2 linked regions of the Canis lupus familiaris genome follow. The protein of the gene in region 1 purifies or fractionates together with the protein of each later gene. This does not show direct contact. Links are inferred from orthologs where the notes say so. Each region holds a gene or a part of one and is shown in the gene's direction. Other genes may lie near its edges. The genes, in order: PITPNM3 and VAPA.

Region 1 (4,581 bases):
AGCCACAGTGTGTGTTCATGAGTTGGCAGTAAATCCAGGGCCTGGGAACAGGAAGGGTGTGTGTTGGGGAGTTTGTGGTGGGTTGGGTGGGGGGTCAGGTGGTGAAGGGGTCGGGCAGGTGGAGGGAATGGGTGGGAGGTGCTGTCCCTGGGCCAACAGGGCTGACCTTGCCCTTCAGGAACAGAACAGTGTGTGCTCCAGGCTCTGGGCTCAGGGCAGGGACCCATGCCAGGTCCTGCAGGGGAGCGGGGCTGCTGCGGGCTCCCTGGGGCTATCTGTGTCCCCATAGCCATGCCCAGGGAGAGCACACACCTCTCACTTGTGCGTTGGCATCTGCTGCATGTGCGGACAGGTTCCCCAACACCAGCCAGAATCGAAAAGGGAGGTTCTCTGTCAGGTTCCTCATTGTGCCTATGGGGAAACTGAGGCACAGAAACGAGACGTGTGCCTGCTGGTCGGGGCTGACACCTCAGCAATGGCAAGCTCCGTGTGCCTGACGGTCATACTGTTTTCCATACAATCTAAGGTGCAGCCAATGCCTAAGATACATGATTATTTTATAAACCCCGAGGAAGAATAAGCAAAACCATTTATAGCTGAGCCCCGAACTCCATGGGCGCCTGGGGTGCTGACTTCTGCATGGTCAAAAACCCACAGATGACTGCTGACTCCCCAGAATCTCACTGGTTGTTGTCCACCATCAGCCAGAGCCTCACCAGGAGCATAAAGAGCCAATGAGTCTGTGTCGTGCGTGTCGTATGCACTATGTGCTGTAGTCGCTGTGGGTCAGGCCAAAGAAAAGAAAATGTTATTAAGAAACACGTAAGGAAGTCTACTGAGAGGAAAAACACCTGTGTTTATCGAAAGGACCGTGTGTAAGTGGACTTGTGCAGCTCAAGCTCGTGTAACCCAAGGACCAGCCATGAACTACGATGTGCTGTTATGTAAGACATGCTCCGAGTTGGTTTTTATATTTTCTTTAAGATTTTATTTATTTATTTGAAAGAGCCAGCACAGAGGCAGGGGGAGAAGCGGCTCCCTCTGGGGAGCCCGATGCAGGACTCGATGCCAGGACCCTGGGGTCACGCCCTGAGCCAAAGGCAGATTCTCAACTGCTGAGCCCCCTGGGTGCCCCAAGACATGCTCTGGTTTTAAAGATGTTAATGTGTGAAAAAATGTGCTGGTGAGCACACCGAGGCCTTGGTTTGAGGTTTTCAGGCTCCCGAGGTGGGTATGCATGTCCTCACCTCACAGCCGGGGCCCTGAGGAGCAGAGGGGCGGGGGGCTCACCTGCCGGTGCACAGCTTCTTGGGGATGAGGGCTGAGCTGGGATCCTGTTTGTCCTCAGCCCTGAGCTCTTAAGCAGCAGCCGCCCGAGTCCCCTGTGTTTTTGCAATGTGGCCACATCCACACATGGGGAGCCCTTGCATCACAGATGCTGGGGTGTCATCCAGGCCCTGGTGTTGCCAGGGCTCAATGGTCAACTGTCGATTGTGAGCTTCTTGGGAGCATCCCCCCAGCACCTTTGTGGTTTCAGCATTGACAGGTTTTCGCCCACCTGCCATCTCCAGCCCTTCGTGGCTCTGCCCAGTGGAGGGTGCCCTGGGCACCGGCTGGTTCCATCCAGGGCCCTGAGGAGGTCCGATGCCATGGCCTGGCTTCTGTGGATGGTTCGGGTGATCCAGCAGTGGCCGCCCCAGGCCCCCCAAGAGGCTGACACGGATCCTTGGAGCTCAGGGCGGACTGCGGTGGGCACTGTAGGTGGGGAGCCAAGGCTGTGGAAAGAGGACGGGGCGCAAGTGGAGCTCAGGCAGGCTCCCCCCCCACACACACACACTGGGGCCTGTGTCTCTGCCGAGGCCGCCGTCCAGGCCTGCACACGCAGTTGTGTCGGCCCCTTCGCCCTCCCGATGGCCTTGGGCAGGGCCTGTCGCCTGCCTGCAACGGGGAAACACACAGAAGCACGTTGCCTGTGGGAAGACGTGTTCTGGGCCCGGTGTGACATCCTGGGCCATGGGGCCTGTCCTGCCCACCTGGATGTCTCACATCAGCAGGTGGCTGAGTGGCCACTGTGGACAGAGCCCCTTCCCACTGGCTGACACCCTGTGTCCACGCAGCACGGCCCACTGTGCGTTCTGGCCCCGGGCCACCTTGGGGGCCTCTTGATGGCCTCCAGTTTCGGTTTTGGGGAGCGCTCATTCCCTCCTGTTGGAGGAGCTGGAGCCTGAATGCAAGCACAGTGTCTGGCTGGTTAGCGAGGCATGGGGCGCCGATGGGGTTGGGAAGGCTGGCCTTGGTCTCGGCCACGTGGGGCCTCACGCAGGGACACGGGCTCAGGCCTGGCTAATGAGTGTGTTCCCCTTGGCAGGTGGTCCTCCCCCAGGTGGTGGTGCCCCCTGGCACCTTCGAACTGTCCTCAGCGACTCGGTGGAGAGCTCTGACGATGAATTCTTTGATGCCAGAGGTAAGTGAATGCCCTCGCCCCATCATTAGAGGGATCCCTGATGAGCATTGGCGTCTCTCCTGGGGCCACCACGTCCCACACTCGCACCATGTCCCACACTCACATGTACCGACCCGTGCATCCCCAGGGCAGGGGCTCTGCCTTTCTCGTCGGCCGTGGGGCATGGGCACCATCCTCTGCGGGCTTGGGGTTTGGGGGAGAGGGGGACCAGGCGGGACTTGGAGGAAGACAGGCTCCCGCAGGGGAAGCAACACCACCCAGTGCAATGGCCCAGGTGCCAACAGAGCTGGTGACCAGGCCCTGGGGGGACGTGGGGATGGAGGCGAGGAAAGGAGGCGGTGCCGGTGGGCGGCAGGTCTGCCCACAATGTCCGAGGGAGAGTCCCCACGGCCACGCTTGCCCGGCCTGAGTGGGCGGGGACGAGATGCACTGAGGCCTCCTCTGTACCCAGGGCCGGTCCTCACTGCCCGTCCGGCCCCGCCCCGGGAAGTCACCACGTCCAGGCATCTGCTCGCTCCTGGGGCGGCAGCTCTGAAACACCTGGCCGAACAGGGTCTTGAAAGGCAGACAGACTGTGCCTGAGCGGGACCCTGGGGACGTGGCCTCTGCGGTGCCTCGGGTTCCCCGTCACCTCTGCACCTCTGGAAACGGGGAAGACTCCAACTCAGGGCAGCAGGGCCCGGGTGCCAGGCCTCCCCAGCCCTCCCCGGCCCAGCTGGGCCTCACGTGCTGCCTCCCGTGGGTGTCTGGCTGCAGTGGCTGTGGGGCTGCTTCTCCGTGGCAACCGGCTGACAGTGTGACAACAGTGCTGTCAATATTTTGATGCTCAGAACACTTTTATTTCAAATATTTTGCAGTTCACCAGGGTGGGTGCTCCCGGACGGTGGGGATGGCAGGTGACGGGCAGTGCTGAGGGCCTGCTCACCTGCTTCCCTCCAGCAGCTGTGGGCACATCCTGCCCCTACCCCACAGGCTGCACCTCCCTCTGCACCTGCCACCACCCCCCATGACCTTGCCCCTGTGACCCCCCTGTGACCTCCCCATGACCTTCCCCCATGACCTCCCCCATGACCTCCCCTGTAGCCTTCCCCCGTGACTCCCCCATGCACACCCCACCTCATATGGGGGTTTCCCTGGCAAGATGAGAGCCCCTTGCCATGTACAGGGGGGATGGTTAGGCCCCGGGGAGGGGGCAGGATCCCCCTCGTGTGTGGGCGGCTTGGGGGCCTTGGCAGGGGTACAGAGCAGTCTGTGCGCCCCACGCCGCCCAGGCAGGACGCAGCTCCGTGGGCCACATGGCCAGTGCCCCCATGGGTGCTGCGGGCTGGGCAATGGGGTCCAGGTCCTCAGAACTAGGAGAGGTGCGTCCCTCCTGTTGTCCAAGGGGATCTGGGGGCCACGGTGCAGCCTCTGAGGGTGGGGTATAGAGTGGGGCCAAACCTGGGGGCATCGGGGGGCCCATGGCTCAAGCCCCTACCACGCCCAAGCTGAGTTCGTCTGGCCGCCCACATCCAGGCTGGGGAACAGCCCTGAGGACTAGGAGGCTTGTCCAGGGTCACTCGGGGTTGGGCAGAGCCGGGGCTGAAACCACCCCCTCCACTGTCTATGTTCACTGGGTGTCCACCCATCAGGGAGCAGGCGCTGCCCTTGCAGGGCGGGCATCGTGGGCGCTGCCCTCACGGAGGGGCCATCGCGTGGCTGGGGACAGGGAGACAGCGGGCCAGTGGGTGAGCTGCAGCAACAGTTGCCGAAAATAAAACAAGGGAAGAGACACCTCAGCAGAGACAGGAGACACACTGGACCGTCCGTCCTCCGGGAAACACCAGCTGAGACCGTGGTGTGACACTGCCCCCTGCCCGCGAGGACAGCCAGTTGCCTCCACCGACCCTGATGGAGGAGTTGGGATTTGCAAACTGCTGGCAGGAGCAGCTGCGGTCCGGCCGTGTGTAGTGGGTTCCAGCTCCTCCACAGCTCGTGGTCCTCACCCCCGGGGCACCGTCCTGCCGCCGGGTGTCTGCCCGGGGGGAGGGAGAGCGCACGTCCACCCGAGAGCGTGTGCAGGGACTGCACTAGCTGCTGCCCAAACCTGACACAGCCCAGATGCACAGCGGCAGGTG
Region 2 (4,600 bases), on another chromosome or scaffold:
TGTTATGAATGAAAATAATTCACAATGACCATTTTTAAAAGTTTGGATATCAGTGACCACTTTTTAAAATTGACTTTTAAAAATGTATTTCACTGAAAAGTTTATGAAGACATATTTGGTTGGGCCACTTAGTGAACACTTACTGAAAGCTTTGTGCCATCCCTATATTTAATTAAGAGTATTCAACTAAGTAATTCAACAGTTATCAGATTATATTTGGGGATTCAGTACTAAACAAGGTGGGAAAAGATGTACAGTTTGTAGTTTAATAGAGAAAGCGTCCAGTAAAACAGTGAAACGTGTTAGGTTTTTTCTTTGTCCTTGAAGAACTCAGACTTGTGAGGGAGACCAAAGGCACATAGGTGCTATTAACAGAGGCAGGACTGGTATGAAGAAACCCCCAGGTTTCTTGGAAGAGGCTTATTTTCATTTGGGGGGTGGGGGGAAAGGGATGGGCAAGGGAGTGGTTGTTTACTCAACTACTGATGTAAGAGAATGTGTGGCTTATTTATTTATTTTCTCTCTTAAAGCAGGCTCCATGCAGGAGCCCGATGTGGGACTCGATCCCGATCCTGGGACTCCAGGATCAGCCCCGGGCCAAAGGCAGGTGCTAAACCACTGAGTCACCCAAGGATCCCCGAGAATGTGTGGCTTATACTTAGTGGTTTGAACTGTGCTTTTCTGTTCCAGGGTGGGATAATGGGGAGGATTGGGGAATAGGAGGGGTAGGGTGAATTAGGAGAGATGACCTTTGATGTCATTTGATTCCCTTCTTCCTAATGTTCTTTTTCTAGTCAAAGGTAAATAATTTGCTTTGATGGAAACCTCTCCATATTCCAAAGCACAGTTCAACACTAAGTGAGGAGACTTATTTAGAATCCACAGTCTCCTTATCCTTAGTTTGATGATGATATATAGTCATTTCATTCTGACTTGCCCTAAATCATCTGTAGTTTTTAGTTAAGTGTGTTAAAGGATAGTTTGCTAAATTCTTTATCTTTTTTGTAGGCTTATTTGAATTCTTTTGAACTCTACACTTGACGGAGATCGTTTCTCCAATAGTGACTCGTTTAATCATTTTGAGAATAGGTGGTGAATTTTTCTGTCATATGCATAGCAATCATCTTGATAGGAATTATCAGCACTTTGCACAATTATGGAGAAACATATACCAGTTTAATACATTTTTCTAATATCTCTATTTTATTAAAAATTTTGTTTTATACAGTTGTTAACCTATGAAGGTGCTTTTATAATGGTGTAATGAATTCTAAGGTAGCTCTTTTGTCGGATTAGTAAAGAAAAAGAGGTAGGTATTACCAAATTTTGTTTAAACACTGTCAGTAATTTGACCTAGAATTCAGATGTGAAATTTGATATTATATCTGAGAGATGGTTTCTTTGTGCTGTTATAGTTTTACTATTACAGCATTTTTTTCCATTGTATTATATTATATTTTTCCTGCCTACTAGTGGTTTTGGAGAAAAGTTGGAAGAAGGAAATTTAGAAAATGCTAAAATAAAATGTGAATGTATTCTTCCTCCTAGTAATCAGAGAAAGGAAAATAGACCAGAACCATTCTGTTAAAGGTGGCCCATAACAAAATCAAGCGAATAAAGAAAATTAAGCTCTCTGAGGAACCAAGAAACCTGTGATGTCAGCCAGAACATCTTTGAATAGCAACATAATACTGAGAAGTACAAGTGAGGATGTAGAGTTCTTCTACTCTTGGTAGATATTTGGCATATTTTTAGGTCTTTCAGATCAGCTCTTATTTCACAGTGGCTTCATCGGATCCCTAGGGTGATTTCCCCCTTCTCTGGGCCACAGATGACATCTTATTACTCCATTCCTTAAAAGCTCTCAAGTAGCTCTTGATTGCCCACTGGATCCAAATCTATTGGATCAAAAATAGATAAATATATATATATATATATATATATTTTTTTTTTAGTGTGGTATTTACGGTCTTCCATGATGTGCTGTCTTCTCTTTTAACACCTGTTGCATCTTTACACATCTATACTCCACTCCCCCCCCCCCCCCGCCCCCAAGAAAGAAAAACCCTTCTCCTATCCAAGCTTGTTTGTTCTGCTGTTTTTGTTGGTTAAGGTAAAATCCCTCATGACTCATACTTAGACCATGTTCCCTCAGATATTTTCCCTCTCATGTTTTCAACCACCGGCTTCTTCCTTTAAACATACAAGTACACATAAGTCTTTCATTGTAAAAGCAAATAAACAAAGTACTTGACTCCCAACTCCTTCTGGTATATGTCCCTCCCTGCCCCTCATTTCTTTTGCAGTCAGACTTATTGGAAAAATTGTCCGTGTGCACTGTTTAGTTTAGTTTCTCACCTCTTGTCCCCTGTAGTATTCTGTCCTCACTGCTTATTGCTTGCTGATCGCATTGATCATTTCCAATTCATATCTCTGTGGCACTTTACATTATTAACAGTTCCTCTTTTTAAAAACAATTCTTTTGACTTCTATGTAATTGTCTTCTAATTTTCTTTTTTGCTCTCTTTATTGTCTCATTTATGGGCTTTTTCTTAATTGCTAATATTTCTGAGATTCTGATTTGGTTTTTTATCTCTGTGAACTTTGCTTCTTCAGTCTCCTGGTTTTTGATGGCTTCACCTTCTCTTGCTCTATCTTTGCACCTGTTGGTTCACACTCAAATTTGTATTTTAATTAAGACTTTACAGAGTCAGTTTTAGAATTGCTTGCTGACTATCTGGATTTGAATTTTGACTCAGTTTTTGGGGGAGTATGGGACAGAAGGGGAGAGAGAGTCTTAAACAGGCTAGAAACCCCACATGAGGTTTGGTCTCACAACCCTGAGATGATGACCTGAGCCAAAATTAAGAGTCAGATACTAAACCGACTGAGCCACCCAAGCACCCCTTGACTCAGACATTTCAAACTTGGTATATCCCAGATGGATTTTTTTTTTTTTTATAACCCAAGCTTACTTGTCTTCCATATTTTTAATTTTTTGGTGGCATCGTGATTATTTATATTAGAAATACTCTGTATATCTGCTAATTAAAATCTGTATTTCTACATCCCAGAGATAATTTTTGAATCTGTCTCCTTTAAAACAACTCTGCTTTTAAATTTATTCATTTTAATTCATTTAATTATACAATAAAGATTTGAATTTCTGCAATGTAGAAGTATTGAGTAAGTGTTAGAAGTACAGTTTTGAATAAAACACTATCTTTGTTTTTCATGCAGCAGTCCCAGTCGGAGAGAGAGACACCAGTCAGGTAATCAGCAAAAGGAACTGTAGCTCTGAAGAGGTGTGTAGGGCTATGAAAACATAAAATTGAGGACTTTGATCTGCTCAGGGAAGACACAATTGGACTAAGATTTTCTAAGAATGAGAAGTTTCCTAGGTGAAAAGGAAAGAAAACTGCAGTAGGCGCTGCATGTATTTACAAAGATCCTGTGGCAGGAGGGAACCTGAAACATTTAATGTTAAAGTAATCTCATGAGTGTGGTGCTGGTTTCTAGGTTGACTAAGGAATTTTGTTTTTATCTCACAGGGATTATAAGTGGGGGGAATGGTAGAGTGGGGGGAATGTAGTGATAACTCAAATTTGTACTAAAACAATTTCCATAATTCTGGTAACAACATGAAGTAATATTAGAAGATAGAGATTAGGCAGTTTTTTTAGTTCAGGCAAGAGGTGACAACTTGGTCTGAGGTATTGGAGATGGTGAAAAGTTAGAGGGTCAAGCCAGTGAGACTTGGTGGTCTATATTGGATAACGCTCCTGCAGAGTAGAGGTGTGTTGGATGTCTTTGAGATTTCTGGCGTATGTAACTGGAGGAATGATGGTGTCCTGGGCTGTGCTAAAAAAAGAAACACTGGTATTTATTTGAATGAGGACCACGTGTGTTTTACTTGGGGGCGTGTGGGAGAGCGATAGGAGGAGGGTCCTGGTCTCATCTGGTGTGTTAAATGTGTTTAGGTCCTTTAAAGAGATTAATGCAAAGTAACTAGTAGATTTTGGTTATATGGATGTATTACTTAGGGAGGGATCTGGGTGGGCTTTGGGTAATTATTTTAGGTCATTATCGCTTGCCTTTTTTCTACTACAAGTCTGTAGACAGGCCTGCTTTTCACTAGTGTCCCTCTCTCTTCAGCCTCTCTTCCACACTGCTGCTAAGAACTATCCTTTGTAAATGCAAACTTCAATGCTATTGCTCCCTTGGGTTATCGAACCTGCTGGCACATTTCCCCAGTATGTAGATGAAAAAGTCCAAAACCCAATGCCTGCCTCTCCATTCCCTTCTACACATAGCTTTGGTTACATGAAACCATTTTCCCCAACACTTCAAGCTGTTGCAAGGCTTTGCACATGCTCTGTCCCGAATATTGTTCTCCCTCATATCTGTCAAGCAGTCTCCAGTTCAAGAATCCTTTCCTTTTGTGAAGTCCTTGATTCTTGCCGTCCAAGTTGGTCACCGCCTTCCTTTTTCAGGCCAGTGTTGAAGCTTGTGCTTATCTGTAATATCTGCATTTAACCACATTACAGAGTTTTATGTTAATATATTTTTTCTCTCCCAAACTGTAGCGTTAACTACTTGA

The links.
Region 2: the proteins of PITPNM3 (region 1) and VAPA purify together in Homo sapiens (co-immunoprecipitation; 3 studies listed by BioGRID and IntAct, with this or other methods). This does not show direct contact. The link is inferred for Canis lupus familiaris from reciprocal best matches to the Homo sapiens genes PITPNM3 and VAPA.

The regions. Positions count from the first base shown.
Region 1 is NC_049226.1:30,970,237-30,974,817, forward strand, and holds the start of PITPNM3 (membrane-associated phosphatidylinositol transfer protein 3), read left to right. Parts: upstream 1-1,555; 5' UTR 1,556-1,649; coding exon 1,650-1,761; intron 1,762-2,368; coding exon 2,369-2,464; intron 2,465-4,581. UniProt on the Homo sapiens protein: Catalyzes the transfer of phosphatidylinositol and phosphatidylcholine between membranes (in vitro). Binds calcium ions.
Region 2 is NC_049228.1:75,932,845-75,937,444, forward strand, and holds the start of VAPA (vesicle-associated membrane protein-associated protein A), read left to right. Parts: upstream 1-1,640; 5' UTR 1,641-1,655; coding exon 1,656-1,732; intron 1,733-3,240; coding exon 3,241-3,272; intron 3,273-4,600. UniProt on the Homo sapiens protein: Endoplasmic reticulum (ER)-anchored protein that mediates the formation of contact sites between the ER and endosomes via interaction with FFAT motif-containing proteins such as STARD3 or WDR44.